Linked DNA regions of Notamacropus eugenii. The protein of the gene in region 2 purifies or fractionates together with the protein of the main gene of each other region. This does not show direct contact. Links are inferred from orthologs where the notes say so. Each region holds a gene or a part of one and is shown on either strand. Other genes may lie near its edges.

The links.
Region 1: the proteins of PPP2R2B (region 2) and PPP2CB purify together in Homo sapiens (affinity purification with mass spectrometry; 5 studies listed by BioGRID and IntAct, with this or other methods). This does not show direct contact. The link is inferred for Notamacropus eugenii from reciprocal best matches to the Homo sapiens genes PPP2R2B and PPP2CB.
Region 3: the proteins of PPP2R2B (region 2) and IER5 purify together in Homo sapiens (affinity purification with mass spectrometry; 4 studies listed by BioGRID and IntAct, with this or other methods). This does not show direct contact. The link is inferred for Notamacropus eugenii from reciprocal best matches to the Homo sapiens genes PPP2R2B and IER5.

What each region holds. Positions count from the first base shown.
Region 1 is NC_092878.1:167,231,738-167,238,870, forward strand, and holds the start of PPP2CB (serine/threonine-protein phosphatase 2A catalytic subunit beta isoform), read left to right. Parts: upstream 1-4,124; 5' UTR 4,125-4,209; coding exon 4,210-4,311; intron 4,312-7,133.
Region 2 is NC_092872.1:376,146,292-376,153,294, reverse strand, and holds the start of PPP2R2B (serine/threonine-protein phosphatase 2A 55 kDa regulatory subunit B beta isoform), read left to right. Parts: upstream 1-3,981; 5' UTR 3,982-4,190; coding exon 4,191-4,269; intron 4,270-7,003. UniProt on the Homo sapiens protein: The B regulatory subunit might modulate substrate selectivity and catalytic activity, and might also direct the localization of the catalytic enzyme to a particular subcellular compartment.
Region 3 is NC_092873.1:464,456,381-464,463,410, forward strand, and holds IER5 (immediate early response gene 5 protein), read right to left. Parts: upstream 2,494-7,030; 5' UTR 2,185-2,493; coding exon 1,315-2,184; 3' UTR 510-1,314; downstream 1-509. UniProt on the Homo sapiens protein: Plays a role as a transcription factor. Mediates positive transcriptional regulation of several chaperone genes during the heat shock response in a HSF1-dependent manner. Mediates negative transcriptional regulation of CDC25B expression.

The DNA of each region.
Region 1 (7,133 bases), on a different chromosome or scaffold from region 2:
ATAAAGACCTGCGAATGCCAGGGCCCTCCCTCCCTAGTGCATCACATTTAACCACCTTTATTTGTTAAATAATAATAAGATTTATGTATTACTTGCAAAGAGCTGAACATTCATGACCTCATTTGATCCTCTGTGCAAACAAAGTGGCTTCCAGGGTCACGTGGGTAATATGTATCAGAGGCTAGATTGGAACTTGGGGCTTCCTAGCTTTGAAGACAGCTTTCTGTCCCCTGTACTCTGCTGCCTCTATACCTCCACCATAGGTTGTGAATAAGTCATTTTGGAGCATTATGCAGATTTGGTCATGGATGAAGGCAGCTCACTCCCTGCTTTGATTGGCCAAAAGAATCACACATACCTGTCAGCCTATGTATAAAAACAGTGGTCTTTCTATTGGGGGACCAAGCTAGCAGTGGTAGGCTCTAAGTTCAGGAACTAAGAATTCCATCTTGAGAGTTGGAGCTAAGTCCAACTGAAAGGGAATTGCTATTGGAAAGGGGGGAGGGGGCAAAGTTTCTCTCTTGTCTCTTCCAATTGACCATGTCATCAGAAAGATTGGACCAATAACATCAACTATCTCTAGCTGAGATTGAAGAGATGACCTGAAATCAGTAGGAAACAACACTTCCCAAAGAAGGAAGGACAGATGGATGTGGAAAGACCGAAGAGGCTGGCTGTGAACTTAAGAAAGGACTTTGGGGCCACAGAGCACAAGAAGGATGAATTAATTGTGACTACCCTTGTAGTCTAAGTTTGAGTCCATCCTTCTTATGGCCTTGTATGTATTTGTGGGAGAGGGTACCCCAGGTTTTTGGAGGTGGGGACTATATTTTGCCAGCCTTTCTTACTAAACTCTGAGTAAATACATTTTCTAAAAGCTAATTAAGTCTGTTGGCCAATTGTTAAAAGGAAGCACCCCACCAGGGGCTCGTGAGTGGCACTGTTAGAAGGATAGCCCCTTGGGGTTACTCTTAGATCCTTAAGAGAAGTAGTGGCCAGTCTCATGCCTTCTAATCCGTTTAATTCATTTCAACTCAAATATTTTTTGAAGCACCTACTGTGTGTCAGTTTGACAAGAAATCCTCATGGACAGCATTGGTGTACTAGGGTCCTCGGAGTGAGGAAGAATCCAACACGACTGAACAACAACAGTGTGTCAGGAGTTGTCCCAGACTAGAGATTTGAAGATAAAAATGCAATGGTCTCTGCCATAAAGAAACTTACATTCTACAGGGGAAAGCTTAGACAGTACACAGGTAAGATTAGATAGATATGTACACCTATGTGTGTATATGCACATATGTACAATGAAAAGTAACATTGGGGTGAGAGCACTGGCATCTCTTCCCAGAAGTACAAGGAAGGACTCCTATGGGAGGTAGCCCCTGAGATGAGCTTTGAAATTGACTCAGAATTGTGGGAAGTGTCAGATTTCTTGATGTGCATAGAACGTCTTGTGCAAAGATATGGAGGGAAGGCATTGGTTGGCGTGTAGGGGAAACAGCAAGCAACACGATTTGGCTTGAGCAGAGTTCGTATGGGGGAATAATGGGTGATCAGTCTAGAAAGAAAGCCTAGGCAGTTTTCAGAAAAAAAAATCCAAGCTATTTATAGCCATGTGAAAGAAGGCTCTAAATCATGAATAACTGGAGAAATATAAATTAAAACAACTCTAAGGTTCTACCTCTTACCTTCCAGACTGACAAAGTAACAAATAAAGGAAAATAAATGCTGGAGGGGCTGTGAGAAAACAGGTACATTGATGCATGTTGGAGCTGTGACATGAGCAAGTCATTTTGGAAAACCATTTGGAATTATGGCCCCAAAGCTACTAAACTGTGCCTGCTGCCCTCTGTAAACCCAGAAAGACATCAAGGAAAGAGGAAAAGGACCCCTAGGTACTAACAGTTTGTATATAGCACCTCTTCTTGCGATGGCAAAGAAGTGAATATCTATCTGTTGGGGAACAGCAGACAAGTTATGCTGTATAAATATAATGGAATGCCTCTTTACCTAAGAAGTTATGAAGACAGTTCCAGACACATGGGAAGTCCTTTGGTCTTAAATGAACCGATGCATAGGGAAATCCGTAGAACCAGGAGAAAAATGCAGACAATGACATCAAACCACTTGGAAAACCTCAGATGAACCCAAGGACCAACCATCACTGCAAAGGCTCATGGGTGGCACCTTGGATCTGCTCTAGCTCCCCTATCTCTTCCTTCTTTGTGGTCAGCAGGGACTGGAGGGAGGGGCTGGCAGGGTCGGGGACTGCGGAGGCTGGGTCACAGGGACCCCTTGAAGGTCTTTGGGCAATGCTTCCTCCAGTCTCCTGGAGGGTTCTTGGGCTAGGACTATCTAGCCGCTGCTTCTCAAATCCTTCTGACCTAGGGACATGATAAGTCGAAATGAAAGCCACTTCCCGGAGAAGTAGTCCATGGCTGGACTTCCGTAACCAAGTCTGCTTACGCAGAAGACCTCGGGAGAGCTGGGTAGTGACCGTTTATCGAAGCAAAAGTCAGTCTAGGGACTCTAGATGCTGCCTTTTCTCTCAGTTGGTAAGACTTAGAGGCAGCTAGATCTTGGAGTCAGGAAAAGTCGGTTTAAATATAGCCTAGAAAAAACCCACTTAATCTTCCTGCCTCAGTTTCCTCATCTGTAAAATGAGGCTGACAGCGCCTGCCTCCAGGGTGACAGAGGCTGCTTAGTATCATCTGCAGACCTCACAGCGTGATACAAAGTTACAATGCGCTGTTACTTTTTAAACAGCTCCCCGACAGCTCCCAGGGCGTCCGTGTGCCCACGCGAGCCTGGTCTCGCCCCTACTGCGCCCCCGGAGAGCTGCCTTGTGGGCGCTTCACCGTGACGCCGGCTCCAATCCTGCAGCGAGGGCAGAAACCCTCGGCGTGTTAAACGTCTACACGCGCTCTGGGTCGGAGGAGCCGCTCTCGGGCGGGATGTGCCGCCGCGTGTTTCCTCCCACGGACCCACGGACCAGACGCGCCTCTCCGCTCCCGAGACCTAGCGGAAGCGCCAGGCTGCGAGAACGGGCACACGAACGCCAGCTTTCCGTGCCCATCTCTACAGCAAACCGAACAAAGCGGAGGGCTCGGACACGGAGTCCGCGCCCTGCCTCCGGAGCCTTCGCCTTTCCGCTTCTCTGTCCAAGGCCGGGCCCCAAGCCGGGGCATCGGGAGAAGCGCAGTCCGGGGCAGGGGGGCGTGGCACCCGGGCCGACCTCCCGGAGCATCTGCGGCTACCTCGGACAGCTCCGGAGAGCGCCCCTGGCGGCAGGCGGCAGTGACCGCGGCTATTGGGGGAGAGACAGAGCGGGGGGCGGGCCCGGAGAACCCGAACCACGCCGATCGGCCCGCCCCTCCTGCGCAGGCCCAGACCCGAGGAGCGGGGTCCCGCGCTCGGAGCGGGACGCGCAGGGTGGGAGAGGGCCTTGGAGTGACTGACGTCAAGGGGCGGCGCCGCGGCGCAAGTCACGCAGTGACGCAGGGGGTCAGCGCCGCGCCGCGCCGTCACCGCCTCCTCCCGCTCCTCCTCCTCCTCCTCCCGGCCGCGTGGTGGTGCTGTGGCCAGCGGTACCGGCTCGTGCTCCCTCCGCCTGCCTTCCCCCTCCCGCCGCTCGCGTGCGGCCCCCTCCCTCGTCTCCTTCCGGCGGAAGTGCCCCGCGGTGACGGGCCCCGACGGGCAGGGAGCGTGAGGAGGGCTGCGGGAGAGGGCGGAGTCGGCCCGGGCGGGCCGTAGGGAGGCAGGCAGGCAGGCAGGCAGGCGGGCCGGTCAGTGGCGCCCCGCCTCCAGCTCGGCCCCGCCCCCAGCTCGGCCCCGCCCCCAGCTCGGCCCCGCCCGTGGGCCCTGGGAGCGGCTGTGCGCGCCGCGGAGGGGGCGGGGCGGCGCGCGCGCGCAGGAGGGGTTGGTGGCCGGCGGGCACGCCCCCGCGCCTCCGTGCGCGGCCCCGTCGCCGCGTCTCTCGCCCGGGCACGCCTGCGCGCCCGCGCCGTCCCGGCTCGCGCCCCCCCTAAGGGCGGGGCGGGGGCGGGGCTCGCGTGGCGTGGCGGGGCTCGACGGCGGGCGGGACCGGCGCCGGGGCGGGGCGGGGGCGGGGCCAGGGCCCGGGCCCGGCGGGGTCCAGCACGAGCCCCCTTGGCCGCCGCCGCCGCAGCCGCCGCCGCCGCTGCCGCCGCCGCCGCTGCCGCCATCATGGAGGACAAGGTGTTCACGAAGGAGCTGGACCAGTGGGTGGAGCAGCTGAACGAGTGCAAGCAGCTGAACGAGAACCAAGTGCGCACGCTCTGTGAGAAGGTGCGGCCGGGCGGGGGAGGGGCGGCCCGAACGAGGAGGGGGAGGGGGAGGGGCGGCCCGGAGGCGGAGGGGGAGGGGCGGCCCGGAGGAGGAGGGGGAGGGGGAGGGGCGGCCCGGAGGAGGAGGGGGAGGGGGAGGGGCGGCCCGGAGGGGAAGGGGGAGGGGGAGGGGCGGCCGGAGGGGGAGGGGGAGGGGGAGGGGAGGCCCGGAGGGGAAGGGGGAGGGGCGGCCCGGAGGAGGAGGGGGAGGGGGAGGGGCGGCCCGGAGGAGGAGGGGGAGGGGGAGGGGCGGCCCGGAGGAGGAGGGGGAGGGGGAGGGGCGGCCCGGAGGGGGAGGGGGAGGGGGAGGGGAGGCCCGGAGGGGGAGGGGGAGGGGGAGGGGAGGCCGGGAGAGGGGGGAGGGGCGGCCCGGAGGAGGAGGGGGAGGGGGAGGGGGAGGGGCGGCCCGGAGGGGGAGGGGGAGGGGGAGGGGAGGCCGGGAGAGGGGGGAGGGGGAGGGGCCGCCCGAAGGAGGAGGGGGAGGGGGAGGGGCGGGGCGGCGCCGTTCTCTCGGGGCCTTCTCTCCCCCCTCCCCGTGTGGGGATGCCCTCCTTGGCGTTGCTTGGCCCCAGCGAGTTGTTTATGTGCGGTCTCCGTCCACGTCACGGCAGCCTTCCCGGATCCCCGCAGCGTCCCTCTGCCTCGCAGAGTGGCTCCTGGCCCGGACCGCTCTGGCTTCTCGGCGGTGTCCAGTGTGACCCCCAAACCGGCCTCCCCGCCCCCTCCGGGTCAGTTGTGGACCCTCGGTGCCCGCCGTCTCCCCCAGACTGGCCACTGGGGCCTCAGTGTTTGCTGAGTGAATGAGTGATCTCGCGGAGCCGCTGGAGGTTTGGAGCAGCCTGGGCACGGGTCCGAGAGCTGCTTGAGGAAGGGTCCCCTGCGCCCGGATGAGCGCCGGGGTCTGTGGGGAGGAGGCCTGTGACCTAGAGTGCCCGGAGCCCAGGTGAGGGCGGGGCGGCTTTGGGGCGAGGAGTGCGTGTGCTGTCAGCCCCGTGCGTGGCCTGGCCTGGTCTTAGGTCTTAGCCCCGTGCGTGGCCTGGTCTTAGGTCTCAGATCCGTGGGTGGCCTGGCCTGGTCTTAGGTCTCAGACCCGTGGGTGGCCTGGCCTGGTCTTAGGTCTCAGACCCGTGCGTGGCCTGGCCTGGTCTTAGGTCTCAGACCCGTGGGTGGCCTGGCCTGGTCTTAGGTCTCAGACCCGTGCGTGGCCTGGCCTGGTCTTAGGTCTCAGACCCGTGGGTGGCCTGGCCTGGTCTTAGGTCTCAGACCCGTGCATGGCCTGGCCTGGTCTCAGACCCATGGGTGGCCTGGCCTTAGGTCTCAGACCCATGCGTGGCCTGGTCTCAGACCCATGGGTGGCCTGGTCTCAGACCCGTGGGTGGCCTGGTCTTAGGTCTCAGACCCGTGCATGGCCTGGTCTGGTCTTAGGTCTCAGACCCGTGCGTGGCCTGGTCTCAGACCCGTGCGTGGCCTGGCCTGGTCTTAGGTCTCAGACCCGTGCATGGCCTGGCCTGGTCTCAGACCCGTGCGTGGCCTGGTCTTAGGTCTCAGACCCGTGCGTGGCCTGGCCTGGTCTCAGACCCGTGCGTGGCCTGGCCTGGTCTCAGACCCGTGCGTGGCCTGGTCTTAGGTCTCAGACCCATGGGTGGCCTGGCCTGGTCTTAGGTCTCAGACCCGTGCGTGGCCTGGTCTTAGGTCTCAGACCCATGGGTGGCCTGGCCTGGTCTTAGGTCTCAGACCCGTGCGTGGCCTGGCCTGGTCTCAGACCCGTGCGTGGCCTGGCCTTAGGTCTCAGACCCATGGGTGGCCTGGTCTCAGACCCGTGGGTCACCTGGCCAGTGGCACTCCCAGGCACCGAAGGAACGGAAGGTCTGGGTTCCCGTCTGGGCTGGTGGTGACTCAGGGACCTTTCCTGGGTCCGGAGTCAGTGAGGAGCACCCCCTGGCTCAGTCCGACCTCCCCTCCCTGCCCCCTCCACGCCGCTTCTTCACGTTTTCCCCTTTCAGTTCCATGTCAGTAGTGTCAGCCTAGCCTGTGAGCCATGCTGAGGGCTCCCTGTAGCCTGACTGGTACTGAGGCCTGAGGCTGACTCCGGCTTTGTGTGCTGTCCTTCACGTCAGTGAGGTTCAATGTTGGGAGGGGTTTTTAACCAGTTCTCTTACCCTTAAACGTACATGGTCAGCTGAGACAAGCAGCTCTGAGACCTTTCTCCCACTGCTGATGGATGCTGGGGTGGCCGTCAGTGGACAGAATGTTTGTTGAACTTTTTAGGCAGATTGTGTGACTTTGGCTTCTCTAATAACCCTCTAATCCTCTTCCTTGATGCCAGCCGCAAGCGGGCTCTGTCTTATACCAGGAACAGTGCAGCCACCCAGAGGAGGATAATCCAAGAAGCTCTCCGCTCCCGTGGCTTGCCTGGGACTGTGCCAGTAGTGGCAGCAATACTAGCTCTCAGGAGGGTGCCAGAATGAAAGTCAGTCTGTCCTTCAGGCCAGCACTGGCAGCAGTGAGGCTACCCTGAGCAGGGGTGTAGCCAGGTAGCCCTGATTTGGCCTGGATTGTTTAGGATGATGACCTGTGGGTGTACCTAGAGGTGGCCTGTCCATCGTAGGATCTTCATTCTCCCTGTCACTAGCCATTACTACCTTGGGATGGACGTCTTGGACAGAGTGGTCTGACATCTCTAATTTAACAGAATTGATATTCCTTTGAGACCTGCTTGCTCTGAACTTCTAGTTCGTTTCCACAGACTTTCTTCAGCTGGGACAGGGCCAGACATCATCTTCC
Region 2 (7,003 bases):
CACCACCTAGCTGCCCAAGCCCTCCCTAACCATTTTGTATTTAACTATCTTGTTTTCATCTGTACTATAGTTACTCTGTATATATTTAAATGTGTATTTGATGCTTTCTCCATTTGAACAGAAGATCCTTAAGAGGAGGCAAGGTTTCATTCCTTATATTTGTAACCTTAGTACCTGGTATGTAGAAGGCAGTTAATAAGTGCTTGTTTTTTGATTGTTGATTGAATGAAGAATACTGAGCTCCCCCCCACCCCCAATAGATTTGGAATGTTGTGATATCATTCATAAATACATATGTGCATCAGAGAGGTATAAGCAAAATGTTATTTGACTCAGAAAAGAGTCAAGGTCATCGCTGTGTAGGGAGACCAAGAAGTCTTCTGAGTTGGAAATGCTGAGTTGGAAATTATTTCTTAAAGTCTTCCTCATCACATAGTAAATAACTTTTGGCAGTGGAGAGGGCCATAGAAGAAATTCTACCTGGGTCCCATGATGCTTCACATGGATCACTGATCCCCCATGCTCTGGGGTGATTACAGTCCTGCCTTGGGGTTTGGAGAGATTTTTTTTCAGATGAAGGCAGGGAAAACCAGGTACTTTAGAAGTGGTTCTCCTAGGATTTAGATATAGGCTATATCTGGCTTTTTGTTTCACGTTGAGGTAATAATAGTCTTAGCTAGATTACAAGGATATGTCTATTTATAGCAGTAAGGCATCAGTGGAGATTCATTCATAGAAGCCCAATGAACAGGGCAATTAGAGGGTACTACAGGGATCAACAAACTAAAGCCCACAATTTTACAGAAGAGGAAATTGAGATTCATACCATTCATTTGGCAGATATTTCTTGACTGCCCTGCTCTCTGAGAACTTATTAGCTCATTGGGGAGATAAAAAGAGCTCACGGGAAGTAGTTAACTAAGTACATTAGGCTGGAGGTAAAGTGCTCAAATGAGTTATCCAGACAATAACCTTTAAAACTTGAGAGGAGAGAGGAGGCAGTTTGGTTCTGGAGGGTACTGGATATGAAGCAAAAGGCATCAGGCTTCAATGCTAACTCTCTACCTTACCATTTGAGATGGGGGTGTGGTGGGTGGAGAACTTGCAGCCCCTAGGACAATGTGGCCCTCTAGGTCCTCAAGTGTGGCCCTTTGAGTCCAAGTTTTAAAGAACAAATCCTTTTATTAAGGGGTTTGTTGTGTGAAGTTTGGATTCAATCCAAAGGCCACACTTGGGGACCTAGAGGGTCACATGTCACCTTGAAGCTGCAGATTCCCCAATCCTGCATGAATCAGAGCAAGTCTCTTAATGCTTCTGGATCTAAGCTTTCCCATCTGTATAATAAAGAAGGTTGAAGAACATGATTTCTTCTAACTGTAAATTATATGATTCTAAATAATTGGAGAAAGAGGTAACAGAAAGCAGGCTGCTAGAGTGAGTTTTGGTAACTTTGTTTGATTGCAAAGGTTGAAGATTGTTCATCAGTTACTGAGGCGTAATCCTCCTTGGTTCAACCATCATTTTATTTTCTCATCTCATGAAATACTTTGTTTTATAATCCTAATGCATTAATCATGTAACGGTCTGCATTAGAGTTATTTGTTTCAGTCTTATTCTCCTAGTAGACTATGATCTCCGTGAGGACAAGGATAAAGTTTTATCTAAACTTTGTATATATGTTCTGTACATAGATCTGGAAAAAAAGGCTGGTGATCTGGGCCTTGTCCCAGGGCACTAAATTTGGGGAGTGCTGACACAGAAGCATAGAAACAAGAGAGATTAGCAAGGATAATTAAAATCAGAAGATGCATTATGTCAAGCTACAGCAAGTGTGTACTCTGTTCTGCCCATGTCCTCTGCTATCCCTATGGCCTTCCAGCATGCTACTTGCCCCAGGCCTAGTTTGAGGTATTTGACCTGGGAGCAAAAATTCCCACTTTCTCTCTGAAGACAGTGGGTTTTTTAAAAAACATATCTGTTGCTAAAACTAGTTTTCATATTCTGAATATATTATCAGGGAAATATTAGTGTGTGTTTTTCTCCAGTGAATTTGTGATTTTCCATGAAGCCAAGCCAGATCATCTAGACAAAGAAGATTGGAAGTATATGCACCTCTCTACTTTAGAAATAACCCTCCAAATGCCCCAGTCTCATTAGAATGAACCAGCAATTCAGTTTCCATGGCTAGGCTCTCTCTTCAGGGAATATTGGTCATGAGATAGATTGTTTTCCCACTGAATTGATTTGTTGCCTCACTAAATTGAATCAACTGGTTGTTTGACATCATACAGACATAAGTGGAAGGTGAGGGTCAGGAGCAAAGCAAAGAGTTGCCTTGTGACCACACTGGCTGGAACAACAGTGACCTGCCCTCTGATGTAATCTAACATATTCCCCCAATGATAAATTTTTTAAAAAAGTCTTAAAAGTCATTAAAAAGCTGAAAGTCATAAACTCTTGAAATTGTTTCTTTAAAGCATGTTTGCATTAAGTCTTCTAAAAATCGCACTGTTTGAAGAGTTTTGCTGGTACTTAAAATTTGCCGTTGGTGTTTGTTATATAGGACTTTGGAGAGTTTTATTTTCTCTTTATCTCCATGTAGAATGATGTATTTCCATCTTCTTTTCTTGAATGAAGTATGAGACAGTTAATAATGAGATGATGACAGTTAGTACATCTTGTGATGTTTCTTTGGACCCTGCCAGGCTTAGGGTAAGAGTTGCTAAACAGAGGGGCTGGAGGCAGGGCACGGGTTAGGATCACAAACAAGCATGAATCAATATCTGAGGATCATATATTTCATGAGGCAAGAGAAGGATGTAGCCTTGGGGTCAGGCAGATAGTTCAAAACTGGGAGAACAAGTAGAATTGGGGTTTATGAGATAACAAGACTAACTGGTATTTACTAGACTAATTTTATGCTTTGGTTTGAGAAGCCAGCCCCTGCCCTCTGTCCTCAGCAGCAGTGGTCATCTCTAACCAGTCTTGGCTTAGGCAAAAGGGGAGCTCTGCATTTGCTTTGGCATAATGTTTCTAACCTCATCACTTTGTTCTGAGTAGGGGGGCGGGGACACTTCAATTTTCCTTGCTCTGATTTAGTTAGTTTGAGTACCCTATGGATGAAGAATTCAACTTTTATACCTTAGGAGATGGTCTTTGGGAGTTGGCTATGGTCAAAACTTTTCACACGACTATAATGTAGTAGGCATTTTCTCCTTTTACTCTAGCCTTGTCAGATTTTCATTCAGGAGTATATTGTTCCATAACTGACCTGACCCCAATCCTTTCACCTATGTGAAGATCCATGTATATGTTGAGGAACAGGCAGCTCATTTGAATTCAACCTCTACTATTCTTATACTGTGGCTTTAAACAGCAATCCACTCTGAGCTGAAGTTGCTTCTCTTGTGTGAGTGCTGGCAGGAAGCAAAAAAAATTTTAAAAAAGCAAGCACACAGTTGTGGAACACAAAATCTGTCAGTGTTAGTCCCCTGTCACCGATTCCTCAACCTTGTTATGTTCTGGTTCACCTAAGTGATAAATAGCCCCTTTGTTCTCCTTTTGGTATTAGAAAGAAGGAGAATAAGACCAAGAAGAAAGAATCCGATCTAGATTAAGCAGGGACAGAGACCCATTTCATTGCACAGTACTTTAATATTCCTGAGATCCCTGGCATGACAGGGCTACTTTCTTAGCAGCAGGCTCTCCCTGGAGCAGGGCTGTGTGCTGCCTTTGTTTCATCTGATCTTCTAGCTGAATAAGAGATGGTCATTTATCCTCACTGCTCCTGTATCCTGCTGGATTTCTATTTCTGAAAGAGAAACTGACCAGGAGAAGGAAAAAGGTGGAAGCTGATTTTGGACAGTGTTGTTCAGTGTGTGTTTACAGGCAGGACTGACTTACTCAGCAAATCCTGCACTGATGAGCTCCAGCCAATGAAGTGCTTATATCCCGGCTTGCTTGGGGGCTTCTGAGTTTGAGCTGCATGCAGAAATGTAAGCAGCTCTTCCTGGTGCTGATGGCAAAATGGGGTCCACGGCCAGTTCTTCCTCAGGCTTCCTGGCTTTGCAGATCTGGGAGAGATCCTACATAAACCTATCGGTGATGTAGCCTGCCTGGAAAGCCAAAAGAATCCTCATGGATTCAGGAAACTGGTTTTTGATTTAGAATTATTTTTTTTTTTCTGGAAGATGAAATGCTTTTCTCGTTACCTGCCTTACATCTTCCGACCTCCGAACACCATCCTCTCTTCCAGCTGCCACACAGAAGGTACCGACCAGAGAGGGCGGGTATCTGGGAGGGTGGAAAGCAAGTGGGATGGGTGTATGACTTCCCCCAAAGCTCTGCTGACACTGCCTTTCACAGATTCTAGATGACTGCTGTTCTTGGCAAAAGCTCGCTGGTGACAGACTTCGATTTGCTTGTAAGATCAGCCTGACTGCCTTCTAGATAGAGATTCTTCCCTCAAGGAAAGACTTTTTTAAAAAAAGCATGATTATGTCAAAAAGGTGATTCCTGACATGGATGGGAAAAACATTCTAGAATGTTTCTGCCGGTTCTCATTTGATCACACTTAGCATGCAAACAAGTCATCAAAACTGGTGTCAAGACAGATTTTCACTAGATTCTGCCAGGCACGTTTTCTTAGGCTCTCAAGTTTGTCACTGTCTGTGTAATAACTTGGGGCATGCCCAAGACAGCAATTAGCCAAATAGATTTGGGCTTTTGACGTAACGGTATAGTGCTTGTTGGGCGTTGGAGTTGTTCACTTGGTCTATACTTATGTGGCGCGCTGAAAAGGTCAGAGCCGACTTTCTGCACTTGCTTGAATGCTATTTTCATAGGAACTGAAGTTAATGCTTTTAGAGACCATCATACCTAAACTTTACATTGCTTTGTAATATAGCTAGGTCCAGATTAGTGCAGATAACAAATCCCCTGAAGTGACCGAATTATTTATTATTTATGGCTCTAAGGGAATGTCTCCAAAACTGCTTTCTAGTCTAGCATGGATCTTGTATATATGTGTATACGTAGTGTGTGTGTGTGTGTGTGTGTGTGTACTCTAAACATTTTTTAAAAATCTCCATCTCCTGAGCACTGTAGGTTTCAGCATTCCCATTGTAACTGTTTGTCTACTTGTCTCTTATGCACCACTGGCATCAGATTGGTCTGTTTGTTCTCTTTCTGCTACTCCTGAAAAAAGAAGGATTTTGAGAACTCTCACTAGTGAATCACCTGGCATTCTGTCAGCCAGTATAATCAGTGCCTGGTATAGCTATGGGCTTAGAAGAGAGAGCCCCAAAGAGTCAGTGTGGTCTCAAGAAAAGTAGTGCCAGGACTGAACTGCAAAATCAGTATTTATGGAAAACTTGCAGATGACATTCCTCCCTATTATAAAGGAAGAAGCCTGGGCATAAGGCTGTGTATTTTCAATGGGAGAGGAATGAAATATAAGGGACAGTGCAGCCAAGCTCTTTTCCATCAGAACTTCCAGGGAAATGTCACAGAAGACAGGGATGACTGTTAGCTTGCCAGTGATCTTGACTTTAAAATCTATATGTAAGTATGTGTATATATATATATTTATGTATATATATATATAGAGAGAGAAATATCATTTTATTTTTTAATCTCCTGCTCTCTCTATCATCTTCTTTTGATGGCTAAGAGAAGTAACCCCTCTATAGTAGGGAGACACAACTCATAGGTTGGGTCTGTAAGATTCCCAAAGAAGCAGTCAGCTGTTATATACAATCAGTTTCCACTTCCCATCAACTTTAGTTCTACAATAGTTCTCACATTCCTTCACTTCTGCCTGTTCTGACTATCCTACTCTGATATAGAACTTCTTTCCCACCCTTGTGGGACTAATATAACAAATCTCCTTGCTTCTACTCTCATTTCCCTCCAGTTCATCCTTAATTCCACTAACAGAATAATCTTTCTCATGAACAGATCTAGTCATTCAGTCATTCAACAAACATTTATTAAATACTTGTTTTGTACAAAGTCAGAATAGTCATGATACTCCTTTGCTTAAGACCCTGATATAGCTCTCTATTGACTCTGAAACAAAATTTAGAGTAACCTTTCATTCAATACCCTCTGCAATTAGGTTATCTTATCTTGCCGATCTTTTCTCATGTTACTCCCCTTCACATATTTTAGGCTCAAGCTGAACAGGGTTACTGAAATCTACCTTAATGTGCCACACCCCCATTTTCTCTTGTGCTTTTGCTCGTGTTGTTCCCTGTGTCTGGAATATCCTCATCTTCATCCCTGCCCTGCTATTCTCTACCTGTTGAATTCCTTTAAAGGAATTAAAACCCACCCTTTAAAGTTCAACTCAAATATTACCCCTTCTGTAAAACCTTCCCCAATTCCCTCAATTGGTAATGTCCTTGTCCTCTCAGATCTCTCATAGTGAGTGATCTGTTTGCATCCCTCTTACAATCATATATAATTTTCTATCATGGTAACATATTTGTGCTATACTCCTACTATACTATCCACTCCATGAGGGGAGAGACCATTTTTAATATTTCTTTGTAATATAACTAGGTCTTATAAATTAAAAAATCCCCTGAAGTGGCTGAATTATTCAAATTTGAGCTGCCTGTCTGGAACCAATTATCATGTTTTACAAAATTATGACTTCAAGCAATGTGAATTCGGATAAATGTGATCATATCAGGGGATTATTGTTCACACTAATCGGGACCTAGCTGTACTTCCTAAGTTCATAGATTTACCGTTGAGCCCAGTCAACTCATTTTATAAACGAGGAAAGTGAAGGCAAAAGAGATGAAGTAATTTGTCAGAGATCCTGCAGATAGGAACTGATGGTGCTGGGATTGGGATCTATGTTTACCAATAACAGAGCTGTGAACTTTCCAACAGACCATTCTCCGTGATCTGCTATAGGTATTTAAGAACCGTTTGGATAACTGAGTTGAATTCAATAGGAAAAAAAAATATCCGTCAAACTGATTTTGCATCT
Region 3 (7,030 bases), on a different chromosome or scaffold from region 2:
GGTAAACTTCTGAGTGACCTTCCTCACATTCCCAAGACAGGAAAGATGTCAATTGTCTCATGAACTGAAAAGGTTCCAACACTGGCACGGCTAAACACAAATTTTTTTAAGTTAATTTAGACATGGCAACAGATTGTCAACTAATTCTCAGGAGCTACATTACAACTGGCTGTGTAGTTTTTCCATAAACCTATTTATTCTACTTCAAAGTACTGGTAAAGACATTTTAGTGGAAAGGATAAAACAGTGCTCATGGGAAATCCTACAGGCAAAGGACCGCCATACCCCCTTCAGACTGGGTTACAGGAAACTTCAAAGAATATGATTCCAACCTGGAATCATACGTTGGTGTTTCTCATCTATTGAATAGCTGCCCCAGTTTGGTCTATTCCGTACTCGGCCGTAAATATATTTTATTTCAACAATATCACCCTGGTCGGTGGGACCACGGTCCTTTTCTCGCTCCTCCCAATCCCAAGCGGGTGATTACAGAAAAGGAGACAGTGAGGTTGCTTCAAAATATTTAATACGTGTCAGACACGTAAAGTTACATTTTATACAAAAAAAATGTCAATACACGAAGAAAATACTGTACAAAAACTCTACAAGCCCCCAGCCTTTATACAACAAAGACGGGAGTAATCACATCTACTAAAGCCACGAGGCCTTTCCATTAGGGCATCTGTAAACTTTTTCATTAAACACTTTTTAAAAGCACTGTGTAATAATTCTGACCTAGAGCTTTTAAAATATATATATGTTTATATATATATTTCCTTATAAACTCAGTATTTCAAGCTTGATCTCTTCTAGGAAGCTCACCAAGCTTTCTGAAGGGGGGAGACCTCAGAGTCTGTCAACAAGAATTGTCCCTCCCCCCAGGACCGCGCTCCGGGCTGCGCAGGGCGCCCACGAGGCCCGCGCGGGGCCGGTCGTGGGGGGGCTCGCCGAGTCCCTTCCCCCAGCTCCCGGCCCGGCCGCGCTGCTTCCTCCTCGCCGCCCCTGCAGGAAAGTCCCGGCTCCGCGCCGCCCCCGCCCGCCCCCAGCGTCTCGAGCCCCAGCCCGGAATCCCGGTGACAAGAAAGCCTTACTTCAACAATCAACTTACAAAAACACTTTATAACACAAGCCCCCCCGGCGCCCAGGGGCCCGGCGGCGCGGGCACAGTCCGCTCGCGGCTCGCCCCCGGGCAGGTCCCGCTGCCCAGCCGGCTCCGAGGGGGCGGGGCGGCGGGCCGGGGGCGGGGCCCGGCTCGGGGCGGCACCGCCTCAGTCTCTCCCCGGGCGCCCCCGCCCCCGCCCGGGCCCCGGGCGATCAGAAGGCCACGATGGCAGTGCTCCAGGGGTTGAGGTTTCTTAACACCGGCTTGTCGCAGTACATGGGCCCGGGCTCCGCCGCTTCCGGACCGCGCGGCGGCTGCTGCTCCTCCTCCTCGCCGTCCTCGTCCTCCCGGCCGCCCCCGGGGCTTTTGCGCAAGAGTCCGGAGAAGCTGGACCCGAAGATGGTGATGAGGCTGGCCACGTTACCGGTCTCCATCTCCTCCTCCTCGCCCGGCTGTTCCTCCGAGTCCCTGCGGGGTTTCTTCACGGGCGAGCCGCCCGAAGCCAAGCACCCCCCGGGGCCGCCCCCCGCCCCCGAGGCGCTCCTTTTCCGGGGGCAGACGGGCGGTGGCGGGGCCCCCTCGTCCGGGCGCGGGTGGCAGGAGCAGTCGGCCCGCGGGGCGCCGCGCGAGGAGCCGGGGAGGCGGCGGCAGCAGCAGAGCCGCGCCCGCGGCGGCCCCTCCGGGACGCCTTCCCCGCCGCCGCCGCTCTCCGCCTCCTCCACGCGGCGCCTCGGGGCTTCGGGCCCCGCCTCGGCTCGGGGCGGCGGCGACCCCTCGGGCGGGCGCTCCCCGAGGGGCTCGGGGGCGGGCTCCGGGTCCTGCTCCATGCTGCTGTCCCTGGGGAGCGGCTCTCCCCAGCCCGGGGCCGGCCCCCCGGGAAGCTGCGGCGGCGGCGGCGCGAGCGCGCCCGGCCCGGGGCCGCCCAGGCAGGGGTCGCTCAGGTAGACCTGGCGGGCGCTGCGAAGTACCAACGACACCAGCAGGTTCTTGTGGAGCTTGATGCCGCCGCGCTGAACCCTCGAGTTGTAGATCTTGCCCAGGGAGATGCTGACGATGCGGTGAGCTTCCAGCTTGAACTCCATCGTCCCTCGCTCAGGCGCCTCCGCAGCTCGAGGGCGGCCGATTCACGGGCGGCTACCCCCTCGTCCCGTCCGCGGGCAGGGTGTGGGGCCGGAGGCGGAGACGCGTCAGCTCCTCCCTCGGCCCAAAGCGAGCGAACAAACAACCGGGACCACGGCGACGCGAGCTCTGACCCCTTTCTCACGGCCGCGACGGAGCACACGGGAGCTTGGCAACCAGTCCCGCCGCTAACTGAGCGGAGACGGGCGACCCGGCGGCTTTATATAGTCCTCTCACGCCAGCCAATCAGGAGAGACTAGCGACCGTTCCGACCGGTTCGGGGAGAGCTCGCGCTCCCTCGTGCGCCCCTCTCAGCCAATCAGAGGCCGCGGGCCGGAGACAGGGCAGATTCGAACGTTAGTCCCGCGGAGCCCTCTCTTAAAGGGGGAAACAGCGAGGAAGAGGAAGCGGTGCTCGAGGGGGGAGGGGAACGAGCCGGCCAAGTCCCCGAGGTGTCACCTCTCGGGGCGCTCGGGCGTTCCCGGAGGAGGCGGGGGAAAGCCCTTTGTTCGGCTGTTCGTGCGGTGGGCAGGGCGTTCAGGTGCGTACTGGACACGGCTGGATTCCCGAAGCCGAAGCTGGCCCTCCTAACGGTGGCTCCCCGGCCGCGGCCACCCCGACTCCCCATCCCCCACCCCAGAGACACCCCAGCGGCGAGTGAGTGCCCTTCAGAGGGAGCTCCGGGGCCGGTAAAAAGAGCGTCGGAGGCCGAGAAGCCCGGGCTCGGATCCTGGCTCCCCGGCAGTCGCTTAAGCCTCCCTGGACCTCAGTTTCCCCGTCCGTACAGGAGGGAGCAGGCGCCAGAGCCTCGGAGGTCCTTTCCCACTCTAAAGGAAGAGCCAGGATCGCTTCCCGACCGCGCCCCTCCCCCCACGGTACGCGGACACACGCCCTTTCCCTCTCCCTCCACCCTTTTCCCCTCCCCCCCGGCCCCGCCTCCACTTTAAGAGACTTGGCTAAGGAGGTTTCGTAGCCGGGCTGAGGCGTGGGAACCCGACCGCACGGGCTGTTAACGGGCCCCTCACCTGCCGGCCTCCAGCGCTGCTCCGGCTGCAGACGCCGCGTGCCCCGCGAGGGCCCGCCCCGGCAGCCAGGGGACGAACGCGGCTTCGGGGGGCTTCTCCTGCGGGGCTGCCGGCGGCGCCGCCTGCTAGTTGTGCTGGTCCTCGGTCCGCAGCCCGTGTGGCCGGGCGGCGGAGCCCCCGGCGGGGCGAGGCCCTGCGGCCCCCAGCCCGGAATCCTCCCGGCGGGAGATCTCCCGAGGTGCCGGGGAGCTGTCCTCCAGCTTGGTTTGGAGGTGCCTGGAGGCACATCCATTCAGCACACTTAATCTTACTTTTAAAAAAACGGAGCTATTTAAATAGCTTCCATATACGTGTGTGTGTGTATATAGATAGACGGATAGATAGATAGATAGTGTGTGCATATATATATATGTATATAGTTGGGGAAGGTGTTAAGTAAATACATGAATGGAAGTGTTTTGAACTGTTTGAAACACAATACGATGTCTTTTCAAGATATAGATCTGCCTTTGTTTAAGAAAAGCCAAAATACCAAAAATCCAGACTTAGAAAACATTTAAATTAAGGAGCCGTTTGCTTTCTTTCCAAAAACATATCCCCACGGTTTCTCTTCAAATAGCTTCTCCTCAAAGTGCATACAAAATATAATTTTAAGATTTTTCTTTACAGGAAACGTTTCAGGAACACACATAGAGCTCCTAAGGTTTAGCACTTGAAGAGTCACAGGTAGTAATCCATAAAGCTAGAATTCGAATCCAATTCCTCTGCCTCCACATGCCCATGACATATTTAATAAAACAAGATACGTCGTTATTGGATTCTTCTTTGCGGTTCTAGTAAGGGTGTAAATTGGACGCATCCACATCTGTAAAATGGAGGGATTGTGTTAGATGACCTCCAGGGTAATCTCTACTGGCTCTAATGCAGGGATCCTATTAATAAGACACAGTGATAACTACTCTATACACAGAATTGTCCAGAATTGAATTGAGATAGTCCTTGTGTTTTAATAGTCAATAAACATGTACCCTGCACGGCGCTTCATCCTGGGAATACGGTATTTGAAAAAGAAAGATGCAATCTGCCCTCAAGAAGTTTACAGTCTAGCGAGGAGCAGGAAGGGCGGTGTAGGTAAACTGGAAAAGTCAAAGGAATTCCAAATGGGTGCTTTCTGGGTGGGAAATGAATAGAGATCTCAAAATAACAATAGGGAGAATGTTAAATTTGATGCCCCAGGTACTGGATTTAAATCCTGATTTACATGCTGTGTGACTTGTGGTCAGTCATTCATTACTTTGAACCTGTTTCCTCATCTTTAAAATTAATGGAGGGGGAAGAAGACTTGGATTAGATGACTTTAAAGGTCAGTTTCAGTTCTAAATACATGGTTTTAGAATCTTTGGAGAAAAAATGAATACTATTTAAAAATAATTATTCTTTCCCTTCTGAGGAAAATTAACCTTTTAGACCCAATATTATTTTAAAAAATGATAAGGAGCAAGGGTTGTGGGAAAGTAACAATAGCTTTAAGAGGAAATAAACCCAGACAGTTTTTTTATCCTGTCTTCTCCCCCTCCACCCACCCACCTTTTCTGAATCACTTTTTTCCATTGCTATCTTTCCCAATTTTTAACCTCTTTCCCCTGCTAACTGCTCTGCTACTGAAGGATTCCTTCTCTTCAAACTGTATTTATAAAACAGAGCTGGCTCAAGGTTTTTAGGAGGACCCAAAACTCCTTCCTTTCTTAAACTACTCATGCATTTTCTTCAGTCTCCACTTCCCTTTTTAAACTACCTATAAACAGTTGTGTCTAAGCTGTTTCCTACTCTGAGTTACTTTGTAAAGGTGCCATAGATTGCTTCTTTCTAACAGATATCTGCTCTTTCTTCGTTTTCGAAGAAGAAAGTGACCCTCAGTAAAGGAGCACTTTTCTAAACAGTTAAAATTGAGTACCATATGATATTCCTGAACTGAGTAGGTCCAAGCAACAGAATGAGAACGTAACGAATGGTGGCTGAACAAATTCCACACATGAATGCAATGGAATATTATTGCTCCATAAGGAATGACAGATAGGAAAGTTTCAGAAACCATGGGAAGGGAGGCAGCATTATTGCATAATGGACTCCAGGCTGGGTTTAAATCCTGTCTCAATCACCTTAGCTGAGCCACTCAGCTGTTTGACAGTGGGTAGGTGATTTCTTTGTTGTTGTTGAGTCACAGTTGGACTCTACATGATCCTATGAACGAAGGTTATAGAGTTTTCTTGGCAAAGATATTAGTGTACCATTTCCTTCTCCTGTGTATTCCTACTTTATAGGTGAACTGAAGCAAATAGGGGTTAAGATGACTTGCCCAGGGTCACCCAGCTAGTAAGGGTCTGAGGCTGGATTTGAACTCAGGTCTTCTGATCCATTACACCACCTAGCTGCCTCAAGTCATTTAACATCTCTGCAAAATCAGAGTGATGATAAGATCTATCTCACTAGGTGTTTGTGGGACTCAGCTGACATAATGGAGGTGTAGTCTCTTTGCCATTCTCAAAGCCCCTCATTGGAGTAAGCCCACTTCTCATTGTAATATTCATTCTCTCATTAATTGTTAACCAATCAGAATTGATAGCTACCCTCAGGAACACTCTCTCTTCCAAGGGCATATAAACTGTGAGCCCAAAGCCAGCCATGATTATCTTTGGCATTCAAGAGTGCCACTGACCAGTTTTATTAATAAAATGCTAGCATTATTAATAAAATTATCAATTGCCCAGAAATTATGTCACTTGAACTTTATTCAAACAGCCTCAGAAGATAAGATAGAAATTGCTTCTTGGATATGTAGTATATTTTGACTTCTTTTCCAAAGTCTATTTGTGAAACATTTTGTTAAAAAAAATAGTAATTGCTTTCCTGTTCTTTACCAATTAAACATTTATAGAGTGCCAATGATGTGCTAAGTGTTTCACTGAATATTAACACCTTATTAAGAGGCAACCTATAAATCTTTATATCACTACCAAATTCTTCCCTTCTCCAATTCTAAATAATATAGCCCTTATAAACAAGTTTAATTCACGAGACAAGTTGTTTTTTGTTCAGCACAGCCTATCTAAACAAGCAACATAAACTAAGTGGATATGAAATTCTAGGATCCATCCTCATTACTTCAATCCATGTACACAAAAGCACTAACATCTTGCGCTTAGTATTTTGTTTAAGCAGTCTAACAAATGTTATCCCTGGCTGTAAATGTATATTGTAAATAAATGCTAGTATCAGTTCTTGGTACTATTTTGTCAGGATTCTGGTGTTTATAGAACAATTGGAAATCTTATGAAACGAAGTGACTAGGAAATAAAAAGTCCAATTATTTTTATTGCACCTACCTCCCAGGGTTGTGAGGATAAAATAATATTTGTAAAGCATTTTGCAACCTTTAAGGTGCTATGTAAATGCTAGTGATTATTATTGTTATTATTTTAGTTTCATCAATCGTTATTACCTCATGAAGTGAAACTCAGACTTTGTCAGACCCTGGGGGTCGCAGATGTGGCTCCACCACTTCTTGTACTTTTATTATTATTAGAAAGGAGACTTTAAGTTCTCTTAACTTCAGTTTCCTCATCTGTCAAGTGATAATGATAAACCTTACCCTGCCATATAGGGTTGTTGTGAAGGTCTGATGAGATTATGGCTCGTAAAAAAAGGACTGAAAACATAATCGAAACTTTAATAACCTATGACTCAGCTGATGGTCCTTTTCAAACTTAATTCAGAGACTATTTTG